Linked DNA regions of Macaca mulatta. The protein of the gene in region 1 interacts with the protein of each later gene in a biochemical or structural test. Links are inferred from orthologs where the notes say so. Each region holds a gene or a part of one and is shown in the gene's direction. Other genes may lie near its edges.

What was found. The genes of interacting proteins can lie anywhere in the genome.
Region 2: the proteins of RANBP3 (region 1) and RCC1 form a complex in vitro, tested with the Homo sapiens proteins (2 studies listed by BioGRID). The link is inferred for Macaca mulatta from reciprocal best matches to the Homo sapiens genes RANBP3 and RCC1.

What each region holds. Positions count from the first base shown.
Region 1 is NC_133424.1:6,854,829-6,865,228, reverse strand, and holds the start of RANBP3 (ran-binding protein 3), read left to right. Parts: upstream 1-4,965; 5' UTR 4,966-4,982; coding exon 4,983-5,004; intron 5,005-10,400. UniProt on the Homo sapiens protein: Acts as a cofactor for XPO1/CRM1-mediated nuclear export, perhaps as export complex scaffolding protein. Bound to XPO1/CRM1, stabilizes the XPO1/CRM1-cargo interaction. In the absence of Ran-bound GTP prevents binding of XPO1/CRM1 to the nuclear pore complex.
Region 2 is NC_133406.1:212,379,853-212,390,202, reverse strand, and holds the start of RCC1 (regulator of chromosome condensation), read left to right. Parts: upstream 1-3,737; 5' UTR 3,738-3,818; coding exon 3,819-3,884; intron 3,885-10,350. UniProt on the Homo sapiens protein: Guanine-nucleotide releasing factor that promotes the exchange of Ran-bound GDP by GTP, and thereby plays an important role in RAN-mediated functions in nuclear import and mitosis.

The sequences.
Region 1 (10,400 bases):
AAAATACAAAAATTAGCTGGGCGTGGTGATAGGCGCCTGTAATCCCAGCTACTCGGGAGGCTGAGGCAGGAGAATCACTTGAACCTGGGAGGCAGAGCTTGCAGTGAGTCGAGATCGCACCACTGCACTCCAGCCTAGGAGACAGAGTGAGACTCCATCACAAAAAAAAAAAAAAAAAAAAAAAAAAGCATTCTCTCCTTCTGTCACTTGTCATAGCATGCTGTTTTATTTTCTTTGTAGCACCCATCACTATCTCAAGTAATTTTGCTTACCTGTCTACTGTTAAAGTCTCTCCACAAAAGGATGCAAAGCTCCATGAAAGCAGGGCCTGTCTAGTTCATCCTGGGAACCCAACATTGCCTGATGCTTCGTAGCTATGGTAGATACATAATGCTGCGTAACGAACATCCCCAGAGTTTAGTGGCTGATAACAGCAAGTATTTATCTTTCATAGTTTCTGGCCGGGCGTGGTGGCTCACGCCTGTAATCCCAGCACTTTGGGAGGCCGAGGCAGGTGGATCACGAGGTCAGAAGATAGAGACCATCCTGGCTAACACGGTGAAACCCCGTCTCTACTAAAAATACAAAAAATTAGCCGGGCGCGGTGGCGGGCGCCTGTAGTCCCAGCTACTCAGGAGGCTGAGGCAGGAGAATGGTGTGAACCCAGGAGGTGGAGCTTGCAGTGAGCCGAGATCACGCCACTGCACTCCAGCCTGGGCGACTGAGCGAGACTCCGTCTCAAAACAACCAACCAAACAAACATAGGTTCTGTGGGTGAGGAATGGGAAGGGCTAGGCTGGGTGGTTGTGTGGGGGCTCAGAGTCTCTCATGCAATTAGTCAGCAGCTGCCACAGGAGCTGTTGGGGGTTGGCTGAGCATCTCTTGGCCAGGGCCTTGCCATGAGATCTGTGTTTCAGCTTCCTTACAGCATGGCAGCTTCAGGGCAGTTGGACTGCTCACATGGTGGCCAAAAGCTTTCAGAGAGAGTGTTCCAGCAGTGCTGCAGAAGCTGTATCTCTGTCCGTTATGTCCTAGCCTTGTCAGTTACACGGTGTCATTTCTTCTGTGCTCTATTGATCAGCAAGCCCACCTACATTCAAGGGAAGGGAGCACCCTCCTCTCTTGCTGGGAAAAGGGTCAACAAATTTGGGACCATATTTTAAAGCTACCACAGTAGGCAATTGAGAAATATTTGTGTAAGTGAATGTTGACTAAGTTAATTTGCTACCAGAGGCCAGATAAGGAAAGCTGGCAGCCATCAACACTTGGAGGAGGCTTGCGAAACCACTGGAAACGTCCTTGGCTCATCGACCTGACAGGTTTTGCGTGTCTCAGTATCCCCTGAAAAGCCATGACTGGATAATATTTAGCAAGTGATGACACGGTGCTGCCAGCTTCCCAAAGTGTGGGATGAATGTGGTGTGTGACCTGACTTTAGGCGACATGTAGACATGGTGTTAAACGATAATGAATCACATAGATTATGTTAGCCCATTTTCAATTCTCTTCACTCCTTCTCATCACTTCAAGGAGAAAGTTCCCGCCAAGTGCTAAAGCGTCTTCAATAACGCTCTAATACTTGCTAATCTCCCTTTGTATCAAGGAAAAAGCAGTCCCAACACCTTGATAGGCAACAGTATCTACTTTGAATTTGAAAACATTGTTTCGTTTTCATGTTTGCTTTTACAATGGTGTACTCATGGCTTAGTGGTTTTTCTATTTTAAACAGTGATACAAAGTATCTATTTAATGAAAATTTAAACCAAAAGAAAAGTATCAAGTTCATTAAAGGTCACACCGTTCAGATATGGTAAAGGCTGCCAAGACCTACCCAAGAGAAGTTTGGGGAAACCTGAAAATAATGAGACCAACACCCTAGGAATGAGAGATGACCTGAGTTCTACACACTGTGGGCGACCAGGGGGACTGACATTCGAGCTACTCTTAGAGAATTTCTTTGTGGTTTTTTTGTTTTTGTTTTTGTTTTGAGACACAGTCTCACTGTGTTGCCCAGGCTGGAGTGCAGTGGTGTGATCTCGGCTCACTCCAGCCACTGTCTCCCGCATTCAAGTGATTCTCCTGCCTCAGCCTCCCAAGTAGCTAGGATTACAGGTGCCCGCCACCATACCCAGCTAATTTTTGTATTTTTAGTAGAGAAGGGGTTTCACCACATTGGCCATGATGGTCTTGAACTCCTGATCTCAGGTGATCCACCTGCCTCAGCCTCCCAAAGAGGCTCACGCCTGTAATCCCCCCACTTTGGGATACCGAGGCAGGTGGGTTGCTTGAGTGCAGGAATTGGAGGCTGCAGTGAGTAATGATCACACCACTGCACTCCTGCCTGGGCAACAGACTGAGACTCTGGTATTAGTGATATCACATTAGTAACTTAATATAGGCCATGACTGAAGTATTTACACCAAGAAAATCAGCAGACGCTACAAATCAGGGTTCAATTTGTTTTATTAATTGTCTTGTGGTCTTAAGGAAGTGATAGAAAAATCAGTAAAATTTACAATAAACTATATACACACACATAAATACATACTAACAAATACATTCTCCTCCAGAGAAGCTGTTGTTAAATATTTACCACATCCCACTGGCTGTTCAGAAAAGTATAACAACCATGTAAATAGCTCTAATGTCATAGCTCAAAAGTAGCCAGAGATAATATATAAATGAGTAAGCATGGCTGTTTGCAAATGAAACTTTATGTACAGACACTGAAATGTAAATTTCACACCATTTTCACATCAAGAGATATTCTTCTTTTGGTATTTTTTTTTTCCCAACCAGCTAAAAATGTAAAAAGTCAGAGGGCGTGGTGTCTCATGCCTGTAATCCCAGCACTTTGGGAGGCCAAGGTGGGTGAAGCACCTGAGGTCAGGAGTTCGAGAGCAGCCTGGTGAAACCCTGTCTCTATAAAAAAACACAAAAATTAGCTGGGTATAGCGGCACACAGCTGTAATCCCAGCTACTCAGGAGGCTGAGGCAGAAGAATCACTTGAACCTGGGAGGCGGAGGTTGCAGTGAGTCAAAATTGTACCACTGCACTCCAGCGTGGGCAACAGAGACTCCAAAATAAATAAAAGAAAGGGAAGGGAAGGAAAAGGAGGGAGGGAACAAGGGGAGGGAGGGAGGAACCATTTTTAGTTCATAGGCTATATCTGGACCACAGATTGTAGTACTCCTCACTCTCTTTTAGATCATACTCAAAAAGGTACAGAGCTGGGACTCAAACCTAGGTAAGACCTGAAATACAAGGTCCCAGGCAGAGAAATCAGCAAGTACAAAGGCCCTTAGGCTGGAATGAGCTTGTGCTCCAAGGACGGAAAGACCCACATGGCTGAACAGCAATGAGCAAGGGGAAACAAAGTGGGGCGTGGGAGCCAAGTTCAGGGGACTTCATAAGCCTGAATAAAAGGTTTAGGATATTCCAAGTTCAGCTGAGAGCCCTCTGGAAGCACTGAGTGGCCTTGATATTTCTGTTTTCAGTCTATGTGTGTATATATATATACACACACACACACAAATATATACACACATATGTATGTATATATCTGTGTGTGTATATATGTATGTAGATAAAAACAAAGTATTTATATCTATATATATGGGGGGGTTCTTGCTCTGTCCCTAGGATGGTGGCAGTGGCACTGTTGTCATAGCTCACTGCAGCCTCAACCTCCTGGGCTCATGTGATCCTCCTGCCTCAGCCTCCCGAGTAGCTGGCCTGCACCACCACACCCGGGTAATTTTTGTGTTTTTGTAGAGATGGGGTCTTGCTCTGTTTTCTAGGCTGGGTTTGAACTGAGCTCAAGAGATCCTCCCACCTTGGCCTCCCACAGTTCTGGGATTACAGGGGTGAGCTACCGCATCAGGCTGGTTACATTTTTAAAAGACTCCTCAGCCTGCGGCCATGGGCAGAACAGAGCCTGGGGCTTCCAAAGAATGCAGCAAAGTCCAAGTCTTCCATGAGACTGTCCAAGTCTTCCATGAGACAGATAGGGACGATGTGGCCTAGGGTGGTGACAGCCTGGCTGGGGAGAAAGCGTGGATCTGGGCTGTATTTTGGAGGCAAGGCCAGGTCCGAAGGATTTGCTGACAGATTCATAGCAGGTGAGTAGAAAACAACTCCAGGGTGTCCGGGACCCTCCCATGAGCCTTGCGAGTGAGGCTGATGGTCCCATTTTCCAGATGGGGAACCTGGAGGCGCGCGGGGTCCAACACCCTCCCATGAGCTTGTGAAGTTGATTCTCGTGGCTCCGAGGGGTCGAGTTCCACGCGCCGGGTCCCCCCTGCCCCCCGCCAGCACCTGCGTCCCAGGGCTGCGCTCCCTCCTCGCGCCTGACCACGACCCCCGCCCTCGCCGATGAGCTCTGATTCCCCCCAATCCCAAGCACCCCGCGCCCTCTCGCCACTTCCCCCGTGGTTTCAGGAAAGGGTTTGCTGAAGGTAACGGCTCCTAAGGCGGGTAAACTGAGGCAGGAGGTAACGCGTCTCCCGCCCGCGCGTGTGGGAAGCCGCCGCAGGCCCGGGGGTTTACCTGGAGGAAGACCTCGGCTGAGGCGTCCTGAACTGCTCACTGTCCCACCGCGGGGGATCCCCGGAAAACGAGCGGGAAAAACGAGAGCCTCAAGACCCGCCTCGCGCCGCGCGGCGCCGCCTCACTAAACTTTCGTCGCTGCCACTGCGCATGCGCCCTTCCCGGCCCTGTCCCCGCCCCCTCAGTCGGCGGGAAAAGGAGGCGGGAGACGGCTCGTGCGCAGGCGTGTGTTGGGAGCGCGGCTCCGCAGGGCAGGCGGCTTGGCCCGGCAGGCGATCTGAAGCTCGCCTCCGCGCGGCGCTCAGCGCGCAGGCGCGAGCTGGCCGCCTCACAGGGAGTAGGCTTGTTAAGTGCGCACGCGCGGGAGTTTCTGGCAGAAAGCAGGCGAGCCTGGGCCGGCGCGGGGCCTTGTGGGAGGGCTTAAGGAAGTAAAATGGCGGACCTGGCGAACGAAGGTAGGGGAGGCGCCGTCGGGGACCGGCTGGCGGCCGGGGAACGGGCAGCGGGAGGACCAGAGGCCACAAGCCTGTGGGGGGAACACCGCAGAGTGCAAGGGTTTCGTCCGCTTCAGGCTAGCACCCTGGCGGGCCCTGCAGCCGCCCCCTATTGCCTCCCCTCAGGTCGGGCTCACCGGCCCGGCCCATCACTCCCGGCAGCCTCGGCTCCTGCAGCCGTTTGGCTAGAGGAGCCGGGAGGCCGTCGAGATCGCAGCCCTAAGGGCCCTCTGCGTCGCAGCCAAGCTCGGGGCTGAAGGGGGCGGGAGTAGCGGCCCCAGTGCTTCGGCCACAGATGTAAATAGACCTTGGGGCCTGGTCGTGGCCCGGAGCGCGCCACGCTCCCTCCCCGCCCCCTCGTCCTCCGCCACCCGACGTCTCCCCTTCCCCGGCCTGGCTGCCTATCTCCTGAGCCCGTGAGGCCCTCGTCCTCCGCGGACCAGCCGCACACCGCGGCCGGAGGAAGCCCAGGCCGTTTTCACCGCGTCCCCGCCCCGAACTTCGGCCCCCACTTCCCGCCAGTTCCCCCCGGATCCTTCGGGGCGCCTCGTCTCCCCCTCATTTAGGCCCCGCCGCAGGATCTGGGCCGCCGAAAGCCCTGGCTGCTTTTTGGTCCTTTTTGCTGCGCTTCCAGACAGAGACCGTGCGAATCCCTCCTCTGTGGAGCGCTGACAGCCCACCTGAGTGTTTTTGACAAGGTTACACTTCCAGATCCCCCGAGAAGGCACCGTAAGGCTGATGTCTGCTTCCATCCACAGTCGTGTTGCCATGGCTGTAGCTTCAGGACTTCTGAGGCCTATTTTTAGCTCCCCCTTCTTCTAGTTGCACAAATGCAGGCAATCTCTCTACCTGTCTGGCCCTGATTCCCTCATCCGGTGCTCCCTGTAGCTGGAGAGTTTTCCATCCCGAATTGCACTAATGAATGAATTATGATAGGAAGTGCTCGGTCTTGTGGAGCATTTAGGGTAGTACCAGTTAAGGTGCAAAGTCCTGACATACTGTTTTCCCTGGGAGGAGGTATAGATACTGTTAGCCCCATTCACTTGATGAGGAAACTAAGTCAGCCTGGTTACGTCGCTTATCCAAGGCATGTCACACAGCTGGGAAGGAGCAGGGATGTGAACCAAGGTGGCCTGGCTTCAGATGCCAGACCACGGGGTCTCGGACTTTTAAAGATTCTGATTCTGTGTGGTGTTGGGCGGGCGCTGGGCATCTGTACAGGAAGCAGCACAGGTGGGCTCCCTGATTCTTGGCCATTTTATTCTATTTTATTTTTTGAGACGGAGTCTCGCTCTGTTGCCAGGCTGTGCAGTGATGTGATCTCGGCTCACTGCAATCTCCGCTTCCCGGGTTCAAGCGATTCTCCTGCCTCAGCCTCCCGAGTATCTGGGATTACAGGCGCGCGCTACCACATCCAGCTAATTTTTGTATTTTTAGTAGAGACGGGATTTCACCATGTTGGCCAGGATGGTCTTGATCTCCTGACCTCGTGATCCACCCGCCTCAGCCTCCCAAAGTGCTGGAATTACAGGCGTGAGCCACTGCGCCCAGCTGCTACATCTCTTTTTTTAAGATAAAGGAGCCCGTGGAGGGTTGCAGCGTTCCAACTCATGAGATCTAGTTACAGAGGGAATGGGTAAGTGGGAATCAATATGACATATTTTATGTATTTACATCCTGAGCCCATATAGTTTCTTGAACTCAGGACTCATGTCCAGCATCACATTTGGACATCTCCATTTGGATGTGTCATAGGCTTGTCTGGAGCATTTCCAAAACAAAAATCCTTATCTCCACCACACCCACCCATCCCATGGTCTTTCACCCATTGTAGTTAGGCAGATCCATTCTTTGAATTCCTCAGGCCCCAAACCTTGGAGTCATCCCTGGTTTCCCTCTTTCTCATACTCCACAGCAAATTCTGTCATTTCTACCTTAAAATTATTTCCAAAGGGGGACCACCACTTCTCCCCACCAAGACTGTCAATGCTTGGGCCCCTGTTCCCTCCACCCTTACCCTACTGAAAACTTCTCAACCCATAGTGGGCCCCAGTGCCTCCCTGTCCTTCTCTCTCACCACTCTCCGCTGACTTGCTCTGTGCTAACTACTCTAGCTTTTTCAGTTTTCCTTGAATGTTCCATACACTCCCCGCTTTTAGCCTTTTCTCCTACTGATTCCTCTAACTGAAACAGTTTTCCCCCAGATACCCCCGTGGCTCACTTCTTCTGGTTTTTACTCATATGTTACTTTATTAATGAGAGCTTCTCTGGCCACCTATTTCAAATTATATCCACGTTCTCTATTCCGTTCACCTAGCTTGATTTTCCTGTACAGCTCTTACAATCCAGCATGCTAGATGTTACTTGCATGTTTGCCTCGTGTACGCTCCATGAGGTCAGGGATTTTTATGTCATGATCACTGATTACCCCCTTGCATCTAGAACGGTGCCTGGCACAGAGTAGGTATACAAGAAATATTGGTTGAATGAATGAATGAATGAATGAATGAATTCACCAGTGAGGACCCTGTTGTGAGGAATACATTTGAGCACAAAGGGAAAATTATGGATTGCCCTTTTCCAGGGGATACTCTTTCTAGCATATGCGGTACACGTGAGCTGTTGGTTGTAAATGGCATAGTTGAACTGGTAAGGGCCAAAGAGAGAAATGGAATGTTTTGAACTTCACTTTTTTTCCCTAGTAAATGCCACACTCACCTAGCACGTTATCCCTGACACTAGTTCAAGGATCGCTGTCTTGAGGAAATCAAACCTTGGTGGACTTTGTGCCTCACATATTCCTGCAGTCCTTTAATCAGTCATGGTGTTTCTTGAACACTCCATTTCTGGTTTTGGCTTGTACAGCCTGCCAGGATGTTTAATTTCGTATTCACTGTGTAAAGTGGGGCCTCCTTGCCTGCGCCTTTTGAAGTTTTAGGGACTGCCCCATGGTCATGTGTTTGCTCTTGCTGTTTAAGCTCTAGTCAAATGCCCTCTTGGCTTCTGTCTTTCCAGACTGAGATCTTAAGTTGCTCCACCCTCACACCATGTCCCTCCTCCATCCATTTGCCGTCTTTTTTCTCTGGGCCAGTCCCACCTCTGTGTCAGGCTAAGCAGCGGCTGTCCACACGGCTGGGCATCAGTATCACCTGGGGAGCTTTCCTGAAGCCACAGATGCTCAGTCCCCACGCCCTGCAGATTCCGATTCTCTGTGGTGTTGGATGGGCCCTGGGCCTCTGTGTAGGTGGCAGCACAGGTAATTCTCATGCGTAGCCAGGGTTGAGACCCTCTGGTTTGAGTAGTAGAGGGTAGATGTCCTCTGCTTGTATATGACGAAATGTTTTCTGTTGTGTAAAGCATCTTGTTGGATCTCGTCACTATGGTGATCGCCTCATGGATGGTGACAACAACTCTCACAGCCCTTCCTGTGGTTTGTGACTTTTAAAGTCCACCTGAGTGCTTTTCCTCTCAGAGAGTGTGTGTGCATGTGTCACCCTTGCATCCAGGGATAAGTCTCCCCTGCTTGGCATTTCCCCATTGATACCTTCCAGACTCATTACTTATCCTGTCTCTGGGGTTATTCTGCATTGTAGGCAGCATCAGGATTTGAAAGCAGAGTTTTGTCCCTGGCAAAGGTAAAGAAGACTGGGAAGAGGATGAGCAAAGCACATTTGAACTCCAGGGAATCTTGGATTCTAGATCCTGACATGAAAGGCCCTGTTGGCCTGTGGACTATGTGTGGTGGAAACCCGGGAGACGGTGTGAAGCAGGGCTCTCACCTTTGTGTGGTGCAGCTGACATTTTGATCGTTCTCTGTTGGCGGGAGGGGGGCTGTCCTGTGCATTGTAGGTTTAGCAGCACAGTAGCATCCTTGAACCTACTCACTAGATGCCAGTAGCACACACCTCCCCTCACTCCCGGGGTCATCATGACAACAGAAAAAGTCTCCTGACATCCCTGGGGAGTGGGGGTGGGGAGGTTGCAGAATCGCCCCCAGATGAGAGACTCACTGGTATTGATGGTGGGGACGCAGGCTTCGGTCCTTATAGAGAACTGGGTCTGTGTTTTAACTCTACTGTCCACTCTGAGTCATTTGGGGCAAATTTCTTAACCTCTTTGAACCCCCGTTTCCACACCAATAAAATGGGAATAATGATAACCATACCCACCTCGTGGTTGCTGTGAGCACTGAAGGAATTAATGCAAATCCAGTATTTAGCACCAATCTCTGCTCATGGTAATAAACACTCAGGTTGCTGTTTTTACTACAGTGCACTCTGCTCTAGACACATTTAGCTTAAGGGCTCAACAAAGTCTCCATTGTGTGGGTGAACCTGCCCCACTCAGAGTTGGCCCTGGACTGAGCCCCTGGCAGGAGACCAGCAGGGCCTGGGCTCTGGGTCCTCCTAAGTTCTGTCCTGCCTGTCACTTAGTGATCCCAGGGATCCCAGCCTCAGCACTACAGACATCTGGGGCCAGGCATTTCTCTGTTGTGGGCGACTGCCCTGTGCACTGTAGGATCTTAGTCAGGATCCCTGGCCTCTACCCCACCAAATGCTAATGGCATATCCCCCTCCTCACCCCTACCAGTCATGACAACGGAAGTGTCTCCAGACATCACCAGTGTCCCCCGGGGGGGCAGAATTGCTTTCAGTTGAGAACCACTGATTTAAAAGCCTGACCAGGTATAGAGTTGAGAGATTTTTGAGGATGGTTTGGCTTCTCTCAGTTTGTACCTTGTTGACTTAAAACTTAGCCCCTGAGAGGATGAGTTGCAACTGAATTTGTATTGGTTAGCTAGAACTGAAATAGTTGGAACCTATCCTAAACAACTTTTGGAAAATTTCTCATGAATCTGTGATAAAAAACTAATTCTGGGATTTTTGCTGAGAGCAGAATGTGTGTTTTCACCTCCACTGTGCCTCCTGTATCTGTAGCAGAAGGGGCCTGATGGTACCTGAGGGGTGTCCACACTGCAAAATCTTTTACACACTTTGAAGAGACTTTCCATTTTGCCCAGGATCCTGCGTATAGACAGGAAAGCCCTCACTGCACTTCTGCAAAACGTTTCAAACAAGTCTTCAGGCTGCCTTTCCATTTACCAGAAAATGGGATTTTCCCGGCACCCTCGTGCATTCATTAGGTGTTAGAGTCAACCTGGGTCTGGTGTGTGCTCCTCCTCTGAGGTGGTTGGAGTGAGCAGAGGCAACAGGAATGGGGTGAGCTTCGAGTGGCATTTGGAGGAGTTTGGGGTGGAGAAGGGGGGTTGAATTCTGACCTCCTAAGTGAGTTCAGACAGTGAATAGGCCTGAGTGTAGTGGGAGATGAGGGCCATTTGAGGAAAGTTGAGATGCATT
Region 2 (10,350 bases), on another chromosome or scaffold:
GTTACTCAGGAGGCTGAGGCAGGAAAATGGCATGAACCCTGGGGGCGGAGCTTGCAGTGGGCGGAGATCGTGCCACTGCACTCCAGCCTGGGCCACAGAGTGAGACTCCGTCTCAAAAAAAAAAATACATACATACATACATACATAAAAATAAAAATATTTCTTCCATTTCTCACTATATAGTCTTTGATACTGTCATGTATTTTACTTTTATATATGTTATAAAACCCACAGTACATTATTACAACCAGGACCTCCATATCAGCTGGTTGCAGTGGCTCACTCCTGTAATCCCAACACTTTGGGATGCCAAGGCAGGCTGACTGCTGATGCTCAGAAGTTCAAGACCAGCCTGGCCAACATAGTGAAACCCTGTCTCTACCAAAAATACAAAAATTAGATGGGCAATTAGCCGGGTGCACACCTGTAATCCCAGCTACTCAGGAGGCTGAAACAGGAGAATTACTTGAACCCAGGAGGCAGAGATTGCAGTGAGCCGAGATCATGCCATTATACTCCAGCCTGGGCAACAGAGTAAGACTTTGTCTCAAAAAAAAAAAAAAAAAAAATTAGCTGGGCATGGTGGTGCACATCCGTGTTCCCAGCTTCTCGGGAGGCTGAAGCAGGAGGATCTTTTGAGCCGGAGAGGCAGAGGTTGTAGTGAGCCGAGATCTGCCACTGCATTCCAGCCTGGGTGACAGAGTGAGACTTAGTCTCAAAAGAACAACTGGGGCGGGGTGCGGTAGTTCACACCTGTAATCCCAGCACTTTGGGAGGCCAAGGTGGGTGGATCACTTGAGGTCAAGAGCTCAAGACCAGCCTGGCCAATATGGTGAAACCCGGTCTCTATTAAAAATACAAAAATGAGCCTAGCATGGTGGTGCGTGTCCATAATCCCAGCTATTCCGGAGGCTGAGGCAGGAAAATTGCTTGAACCCATGGGGCAGAGGTTGCAGTGAGCCGAGACTGCACCACTGCACTCCAGCATGGGCAACAGAATGAGACTCCATCTCAAAATAAAATAAAAAATACAAATACAAAACTAAAAAATAAATAAATGCCAGGTGCAGTCGCTCACGCCTGTAATCCCAGCACTTTGGGAGGCCAAGATGGGCGGGTCACCTGAGGTCAGGAGTTCCTGACCAGCCTGGCAAAAATGGTGAAACCTGGTCTCTACTAAAAATACAAAAAATGGCCAGGCACAGTGGCTCATGCCTGTAATCCCAGCCCTTTGGGAGGCCGAGGCGGGTGGATCACCTGACGTTAGGAGTTCAAGTCCAGCCTGGCCAACATGGCGAAACCCTGTCTCTACTAAAAATACAAAAATTAGCTGGGCATGGTGGTGGGCACCTGTAATCCCAGCTACTCGGGAGGCTGAGGCAGGAGAATCGCTTGAACCCAGGAGGCAGAGATTGCAGTAAGCTGAAATCATGCCATAGCACTCTAGCCTGGGTGGGTCAGGAGTTTGAGACCAGCCTGGCCAAAATGGAGAAACCCCATCTCTACTAAAAGTACAAAAATTAAGGCTGGGTGCAGAGGCTCACGCCTGTAATCCCAGCACTTTGGGAGGCTGAGGTGGGTGGATCATGAGGTCAGGAATTCAAGACCAGCCTGGCCAAGACGGTGAAACCCTGTCTCTACTAAAAATACAAAAATTAGCCGGGTGTCGTGGTGAGCACCTGTAATAATCCCAGCTACTCGGGAGGCTGAGGCAGGAGAATTGCTTGAACCCAGTTGCAGTAAGCCGAGATTGCGCCACTGCACTCCAGCCTGGGCAACAGAGACTCCATGTCAAAAAAAAAACAAAGAAAGAGTTCAGGTTACCTTCCACCACTTGTGCGATGACCCCAGAAAACTTGCTTTACCTCTTTAAACTTCAGTTTTCTTATATTCCAACTGCCATGAGGTTTTCATGAGGAACACATGAGCTGACATGGATATGTTTCTGTAGTTAACAAAATAAAGGCTCTTACAAAATAGGCAATAATAATCATCATCATTTATTATTATTACATGAAGCTACATGAATAAGATCTTGGAGGAAGACAGCAGAGAGAGAGAGGGAGATCAGAGATCCCAGGGTTAAAAGTTGGAGAAATTTCACAGTACATCATCCAAAAGAGGAGTCCATGATGGAGGCAGAGGTAAACTTGGAGAGGTAAGAAACTCTGAAGACGGGGGAGTCCTTTGTGGCAGGCCCTGCATAGAAGAAATTCAGCCTGGCCAATATGGCCAAACCCTGTCTCTACTAAAAATACAGAAATTAGCCAGGTGTTGTGGCAGTCACCTGTAATCCCAGCTATTCAGGAGGCTGAGGCAGGAGAATCGCTTGAACCCGGCAGGCAGAGGTTGCAGTGAGCCGAGATCACAACACTGCACTCCAGCCTGGCTGACAAGAGCGAGACTCGGTCTAAAAAAAAAAAAAAAAAGTTCAGTTGGTAAGAACTCATCATGGCCGGGCGCGGTGGCTCACGCCTGTAATCCCAGCACTTTGGGAGGCCGAGGCGGGCGGATCACAAGGTCAGGAGATCGAGACCACGGTGAAACCCCGTCTCTACTAAAAATACAAAAAATTAGCCGGGCGCGGTTGTGGGCGCCTGTAGTCCCAGCTACTCGGGAGGCTGAGGCAGGAGAATGGCGTGAACCCGGGAGGCGGAGCTTGCAGTGAGCCGAGATCGCGCCACTGCACTCCAGCCTGGGCGACAGAGCGAGACTCCGTCTCAAAAAAAAACAACAACAACAAAAAAAAACTCATCAAAAGTGTCCATCTAGACTTTGGGTGCAGTAGAATGACTCAGAGTCTGAATCAACGTGAAATCAACAAAACATCATTTGCAAGGGTTTCAGGGAACACCTGAAATCCTGAAGAACTGTTTGTATCCATCCTGAAGAATGGGTGTATTAACAAGAGACAGCCTTTCCTTGGTACCTGTTTTCCATCTCCAACCCAACCCCAACTCACACCCTTATCTCCTATTTTATCTGGTCTCTCTCGTTCCTCTTGCTCTTCCCCACTTGGCTCCCGTTTTCCCCAAGTCCATCCTCTATTTTGTTCTATAAGATCTGATCATATCGGGATGCTTTTGTAGCTCATAAGAATGATGACTGGGTGTTCACACGCATGTGAGATGTGCCTCCCTCAAACCTTAAGACATGGGCACATACCCATCTGATGTTAACTCACGGGGCACAAAATCTGATCATGCCATTCCCGTGCCCAAATCCTCATATATCTCCACTGCCTCAGGATACAGGCTGGACCCCTTAGACACACAAGACCCTGCATCCATGATCTGTCACTCCCACAGGCACCCTCTGCTCCCATCTACTTGGCAGTTTCCCACAACCTCCCTGGGTTCTCATGGTTCCCTGTCATTGCAAACGTCGCTTCTCCTAGGATGTCCTGCCCTCCTAGACTTAACTTGGAAAGCCGTTCTTAAGCCCCGCGCTGAGTAAGATGCCCCTGTGGGTATCACGGTCATAGCGCTGTGTGGTTGCTGATAGTCTGATTTTTCATCCTTCTCCATGCCCTCTTGAGGGTAGGGAAGATATCTTTTTTCTCCGTACAGACCCTACCGCACGAGATTTTCCTAAACAGACCGAATTCAAGGAGTCTTTCTGGTTGTTAGTCCACGTGTCCCGATTTGGGGTTTCCAAAATACACACTCACTGGAACCGGGCCAGGGGAGCCAGCCTGGCCAAGAGCTCCCCCCAGCCCGTGAGCGCGCCACATGCAGATCCTGGGATGGCCGCCAGGGGCCGCCGGGCTCTTTGTTTTCCTTTCTCGCCCGGGTCGGGGCCAGAGGCCTGCAGAGCGCATGCTCTGGGGCAGTTCGCGGCCCGGCGGGGAACGCTGGAGTTCCTTGTGGCCGACGTGCACCGAGGTAGGTCTCGCTCAGGGCGCGCGGAGGGTCCGGGCAGAGGGCGGTGCGCGGGGCGGCCACAGCCGGAGCACGGGCCGGTCCACGCGGGCCTAGGTCGCTGTCCGCTTTCGCCCGTGTAGCGCGGCGCTGGCCCCACGTGAAGCCCGGCGGCAGGAAGGCGCGATGCGGGCTCGCGATTCCCCGGCCCCGCGGGGCGCTCCAGCGGCCGCTGGGCCCCGCCTCGCGGGAGCTAGGGCCGCGCTGCCCCTCCGCCGCCGCGCCTCTCACGCCTGCACCGCGGCGCCCGCGCAGGCGGGAGATTCAAACGGCGCGAGCGCGATGGGCCGGGTGCGCGCGGCCGCCCGGGCGGGGGATGTGTCTCTGCCGCGAGGAGAATGGTTTTGTCCAGCATGCGTTTGGAGAAGGCGGTTTGCAGAGCTGGCAGGGAGCCCTGCCCGGGAGAGGGTGGATCTTCAGAGCTCGAGGGTGGGTAGTTGGGGGTCTGCTGCGGCGAGAGAAGTCCCAGCGTCGGCAGGCACCCAGGCACCGCTGTGGACCTTTGGGAGCCGTGTGTCTCGAACTCCGCAGCAGCTCAATCTGTCAGCAAATTATTTGCTGGCCATCTATTCCGTGCCGCTCTTGCAGGGCTGGGGGACAGTGGTGAGAAGGGCAGGCCCGTGTCATTAGCGAACTATGCCCTGGAGCCCGGGCGACGAACGCTACTGCCAAGTCTTCATTCATCACATATTGACCTAACTTCGACCACGTGTGACTTGTGTGGCCTAGCAAAAGTTGAGTGTGTGGGGTGTTACGGGAACCCTCAGGGGGACCCCCCGCCCTACCCAGGAGGCTCAGGGATGGCTTTCTAGGTGAAGTGACTCTTGAATGGGGTTTTGAAGGAACAGAGTTTTTCGGGCAGTCTGAGGGTAGTGGGATTAGGGTGATTCAGGCAGAGGGACTGCAGGTGCAAAGGCATGAAAGTATAGATATTGTGGTAAGGGATATCACAGGTCTTGAGGTGACTGGAGGAGGAGAGTAACAAGATGATACAGCAAGGGCTGGGTCATGAAGGGTCTTGGGTGCAAGACTAAGGAACACTGCGGGGTGGAGGAGGCAGGGAAGGATTGCCCCAAGAAGGACATCAGAGTGAAACCTGGACAGATGAATTAGGAGTTCCCGAGGCTCTTGTTTCAAAGACATCCCAAGAGCAGGAATCCTGTTCTGTTCCTCTTTAGAACTTTCTCATCAGATGCCCTTGGGCAACCCACCCAGTCCCCCAGAGCATTGGTTTCCTTATCTTTATAGCAATGGTAGGGGGCATGTGGTGAGGATATAATTTTTTTTTTTTTTGAGACGGAGTTTCCGCAATTATTGCCCAGGCTGGAGTGGAGTGGTGCGATCTCGGCTCACTGCAACCTCCGCCTCCCAGGTTCAAGCAATTCTGCCTCAGCCTGCCGAGTAGCTAGCTGAGACTACAGGAACAGCGCCACCAGGCCCCGCTAATTTTTGTATTTTTTTTTTTTTTTTTAGTAGAGACGGTGTTTCACTATGTTGGCCAGGCTGGTCTCGAACTCGTGACCTCAGGTGTCCACCTGCCTCGGCCTCCCAAAGTGCCGGAATTACGGGTGTGAGCCACCGCACCCGGCCAATTTTTTTTTTTTTTTCCTGATACGAAATCTTGCTCTATCGCCCAGGCTGGAATGCAGTGTCGTGCTCTCGGTCATTGCAGCCGCCACCTCCCGGGTTCAAGCAATTCTCCTGTCTCAGCCTCCCAAATAGTAATATCCTATAATTTTCATAAAGCAGTCATTCCAACATCTAGTGGAAGTTGTGGGTCCCTTCCCCCAGGAAAAATGAACACATAGACCCAAGCACAGGTTGTATCCAGTGGGGATCCCAAGTGAGAAACTCCTAGTGTGAAATATACCAGCTCTGTGCCTGACGTAACAGCAGCTCACCAAATGTATATTGTTGACACACGAGCCCTCTCCTCCCTTCCCTCCTGGGGACCTTTCACACAAAGAGATTTTTCAGCCTGAGTCTGGCAGGCAAGTTCTCCCTCCTGGCGTGGGGGACGGAGGGCACAGCTGCAGTGGTCTGGGAGGGCTCTGTCTCCTTTTACAGAAATTGAGGCTGTGGTGAGGTCACTGGAGGTCAGGGCAGGAGCACCAAACTCCAGGCAGACTGTTTAGACTGGCATGCCTACCCACTTTCTTCAATAAATAAGGAAAGTGAGGTGGGGTAGGGCAGCTCTGGCTCTGGTGGAGCAGGGTCATGAGACTGGGGTTTCATTGCACCTCTGTGGGACCTGGGCCACCTTTCCCTGAGCCTCATCTTCCCCTTAGCTGTAAAACCGGGATGAATCTGCTCACCTCAAAGGGCAGCTGTGGGCATTCTGGAGTGCCTGATGGTGGAAGCTGACTCTGTAGCCAACTTATCTGGGACTGTCTCACTCTTCTCCCAGAGACTGTAGGCTCCTTGAAGAAGGAAGCTGTGTTGGGTGGGGCTGGGCAGGGAAGCGTGATGCTAAAAGCCGACTCCTTATTCCCAGCCCAGACACTGCCAGGTTAAGAAAACAGCCACAGGCCGGGCGCAGTGGCTCACGCCTGTAATCCCAGCACTTTGGGAGGCCGAGGCGGGTGGATCATGAGGTCAGGAGATTGAAACCATCCTGGCTAACACGGTGAAACCCCATCTCTACTGAAAAAAAAAAAAATACAAAATATTAGCCGGCCGTGGTGGCAGGCACCTGTAGTCCCAGCTACTTGGGAGGCTGAGGCAGGAGAATGGCATGAACTTCAGAGGCAGAGCTTGCAGTGAGCTGAGATCACGCCATTGCACTCCAGCCTGGGCGACAGAGCAAGACTCTGTCTCAAAAAAAAGAAAGAAAGAAAGAAAGAAAACACAGGCAGAGAGAGAGAGCCCAGGCTCGTAACCCCAGCAATTTGGGAGGCTGAGGTGGGCAGATCACCTGAGGTCAGGAGTTCAAGAGTTCAAGACCCGTCTGGCCAACATGGTGAAACACCGTCTTTTTTTTTTTTTTTTTGAGACGGAGTCTCGCTCTGTTGCCCAGGCTGGAGTGCAGTGGCCGGATCTCGGCTCACTGCAAGCTCCGCCTCCCGGGTTTACGCCATTCTCCTGCCTCAGCCTCCCGAGTACCTGGGACTACAGGCGCTCGCCACCTCACCCGGCTAGTTTTTTTTTTTTTTTTGTATTTTTTTAGTAGAGACGGGGTTTCACCGGGTTAGCCAGGATGGTCTCGATCTCCTGACCTTGTGATCCGCCCGTCTCGGCCTCCCAAAGTGCTGGGATTACAGGCTTGAGCCACCGCGCCCAGCCGAAACCCCATCTTTACTAAAAATACAGAACAATTAGCCAGGCGTGGTGGCATGCGCCTGTAGTCCCAGCACTAGGGAGGCTGAGGCAGGAGAATCACTTGAACCTGGGAGGCGGAGGTTGCAGTGAGCTGAGATTGTGCTGCTGAACTCCAGCTTGGGCAACAGAGTAAGGCTCCATCTCAAAAAAAAAAAAAAAAAAAAAAGATGAAGAAAAAGGAAAACACACCCAGAGCAGTGAGAGAAGTCTGTACAAAAGACCTGTTTGTGCAGTAGAGGCTGTGCAGGCAGGTACCGGGAACAGGGCTCCACCTTTTAGAAGGTGGCCCTCCGGCCGGGCGCGGTGGCTCACGCCTGTAATCCCAACACTTTGAGAGACCGAGGCAGGTGGATCACGAGGTCAGGAGATCGAGGTCAGGAGATTGAGACCGTCCTGGCTAACACAGTGAAACCCCGTCTCTACTAAAAATGCAAAAAAGTAGCCGGGCGAGGTGGGGGGCGCCTGTGGTTCCAGCTGCTCGGGAGGCTGAGGCAAGAGAATGGTGTGAACCTGGGAGGCGGAGCTTTGCAGTGAGCCGAGATCGCGCCACTGCACTCCAGCCTGGGCGACAGAGCCAGACTCCGTCTCAAAAAAAAAAAAAAAAAGAAGGTAGCCCTCCATCCCCTGCCCTTCCCTGGCAGTTGCTCACAGCAGCCCAGTGCGGGGCCTCAAGTCTTCATTTTGGAGAGGAAGCCTCTCCTCTGGGACTCAACGAGCACTCAGGCTGTCTCCACCACAGCAGGGAGTTGTTGCCACTGTCCTACCCCATGTCTGTTGTATGTCGTCGGATCTGTCACCACCCACCCCACCTTCCCTCAGGCCCCAGCTGCCTCAGTGTCTCCTCTCTGGTCTCACTGTCCTCTCCTTCTCTGCTGGCTTCTGCTCTCTGCTTCTGGGACTTGGCCAAGCACGTGGGGGATCCTCGGGAGGCCTGTCCAGGCTGCCTTAGCCCCTGCCTGGACCATGGTCAGCCTTCAGAATCAGTCAGATAGGCCTGGGTTGTTTTTCTAGGCTCCCCTTTACTTGCTGTGTGAACTTAGGCCAATAAAGTTATCTTCCTAAGCCTCAGTCCCTTAACTGAAATAGGAGTGACAGTGCTGCCTTCTTCAGCTTCCTGTGAGAAGTAAAAGGGTTTTGCATATGGAAGATACAGTGAGTTGACTGGTGCCCCCAGGGGCTTTTAGGAAGTTGATTGGTGTGGTGGATAGGCATGTAAATTAAAGTGATTGTGATCTAAAAGTCTGTCCCAGTTTCTCAGAGAGAATGACTCCATCCTCAGGATGGAGGGATCAGAGGAGATGACTTTGAGACACCAGTAGATGTTCTTCCAGTGGGATAAGGGATGGGAAGGCATTCAAGGTAAAGAGATGCAAATAGTATGGAGAGGACAGTTAACATTCTGGCCTAGTGGGTCTGGCAAGGAGATTGTGTGGGAAGAGAAGGGAGGATGTGGTAGATAGGATGTGAAGCTAAAGGTTCTGTCAGTACCTGATGTTGGACACCTCTAAGACCATGCTAAGAAACGTGGGCTTTATCTTTCAGGCAAAGGGAACCAATAAGGAGTCCAAGCAGGCCAGCAGCTTGCTTCAGGTTTGAGGTTTGGAAAGATCATGAATGAGGCCGGGCACAGTACCTCACGCCTATAATCCCATCACTTTGGGAGGTCGAGGTAGGAGGATCACTTGAGCCCGGGAGTTTGAGACCAGCCTGGGTAACATAGTGAGACCTTGTCTCTACAAAAAAAAAAAAAATTACACATTAGCCAAGCATGGTGGTACATGCCTGTAGTCCCAGCTACTCTGGACGCTTGGATGCTGAGGCAGGAGGATCGCTTGAGCCTAGGAGGTGGAGGTTGCAGTGAGCCATGTACGTGCTACTGCACTACAGCCTGGGCAACAGAGTGAGACCCTGTCTCAAAATATATATACACACACACACACACATTTATTTATCACGAATGAGATGAGGGGATGAGGGTGGGGACCAGAAGACCAGCAACAAGTTGCTGTCTTTCCTAGGGGAAGGAGGAAGAGAGATAGTTCCAGGCAAGCTGAGAGACTACTAAGGAGCATGGGGAGGAAGGAGGCAGAAGAAATTTTTTTTTTTTTTTTTTTTTTTGAGACTGAGTCTTGCTGTGTCGCCCAGGCTGGAGTGCAGTGGCGTGGTCTCGGTTCACTGCAACCTCCGCCTCCCGGGTTCACACCATTCTCCTGCCTCAGCTTCCCGAGTAGCCGGGACTACAGACGCCCGCCACCTCTCCTAGCTAATTTTTTGTATTTTGTATTTTTTGTTTGTTTGTTTTTTTGAGGCGGAGTCTTGCTCTGTCGCCCAGGCTGGAGTGCAGTGGCGCGATCTCGGCTCACTGTAACCTCCGCCTCCTGGGTTCACGCCATTCTCCTGCCTCAGCCTCCCGATTAGCTGGGACTACAGGCGCCCGCCACCACGCCCAGCTAATTTTTTGTATTTTTTAGTAGAGACGGGATTTCACTGTGTTAGCCAGGATGGTCTCGATCTCCTGACCTCGTGATCTGCCCTCCTCGGCCTCCCAGAGTGCTAGGATTACAGGCGTGAGCCACCGCGCCCGGCCTGTATTTTGTATTTGTAGTAGAGATGGGATATCACTGTGTTAGCCAGGACAGTCTCGATCTCCTGACCTCCTGATCCACCCGCCTCGGCCTCCCAAAGTGCTGGGATTACAGGCGTGAGCCACCGTGCCCGACTGGAGGCAGAGAAATTTCTAATAACTCTCAAGGGCACCAGCTCTGGAGTCTGACTAACTTGGTTCAGATCTTGGCCTCCTCTTCCAATCTTGAGTAAAATACTTGACCTTGCTGAGCCTCAGTTTTCTTCTCTGTAGAGTGGGATCATTGTGGCCAGCTTGTAGTGAAACGCTCCAGAGTAATAGCCAAACACAGATAACTAAGGAGATGTTGATTGACTGGGTCTGTTCCATCCACGATAACAGATTTTTTGGTTAATGCCCCATGACACCAACACTTCACATAGCCCTTATGTGTCTGACTGCATTCCAAGCTGTGCTCATGGCAGCCCAGCCATCAGCACCAACTGTGCTGACATAATTGTTTCCTGCTTTTTCTCTTGACTTCTTGTG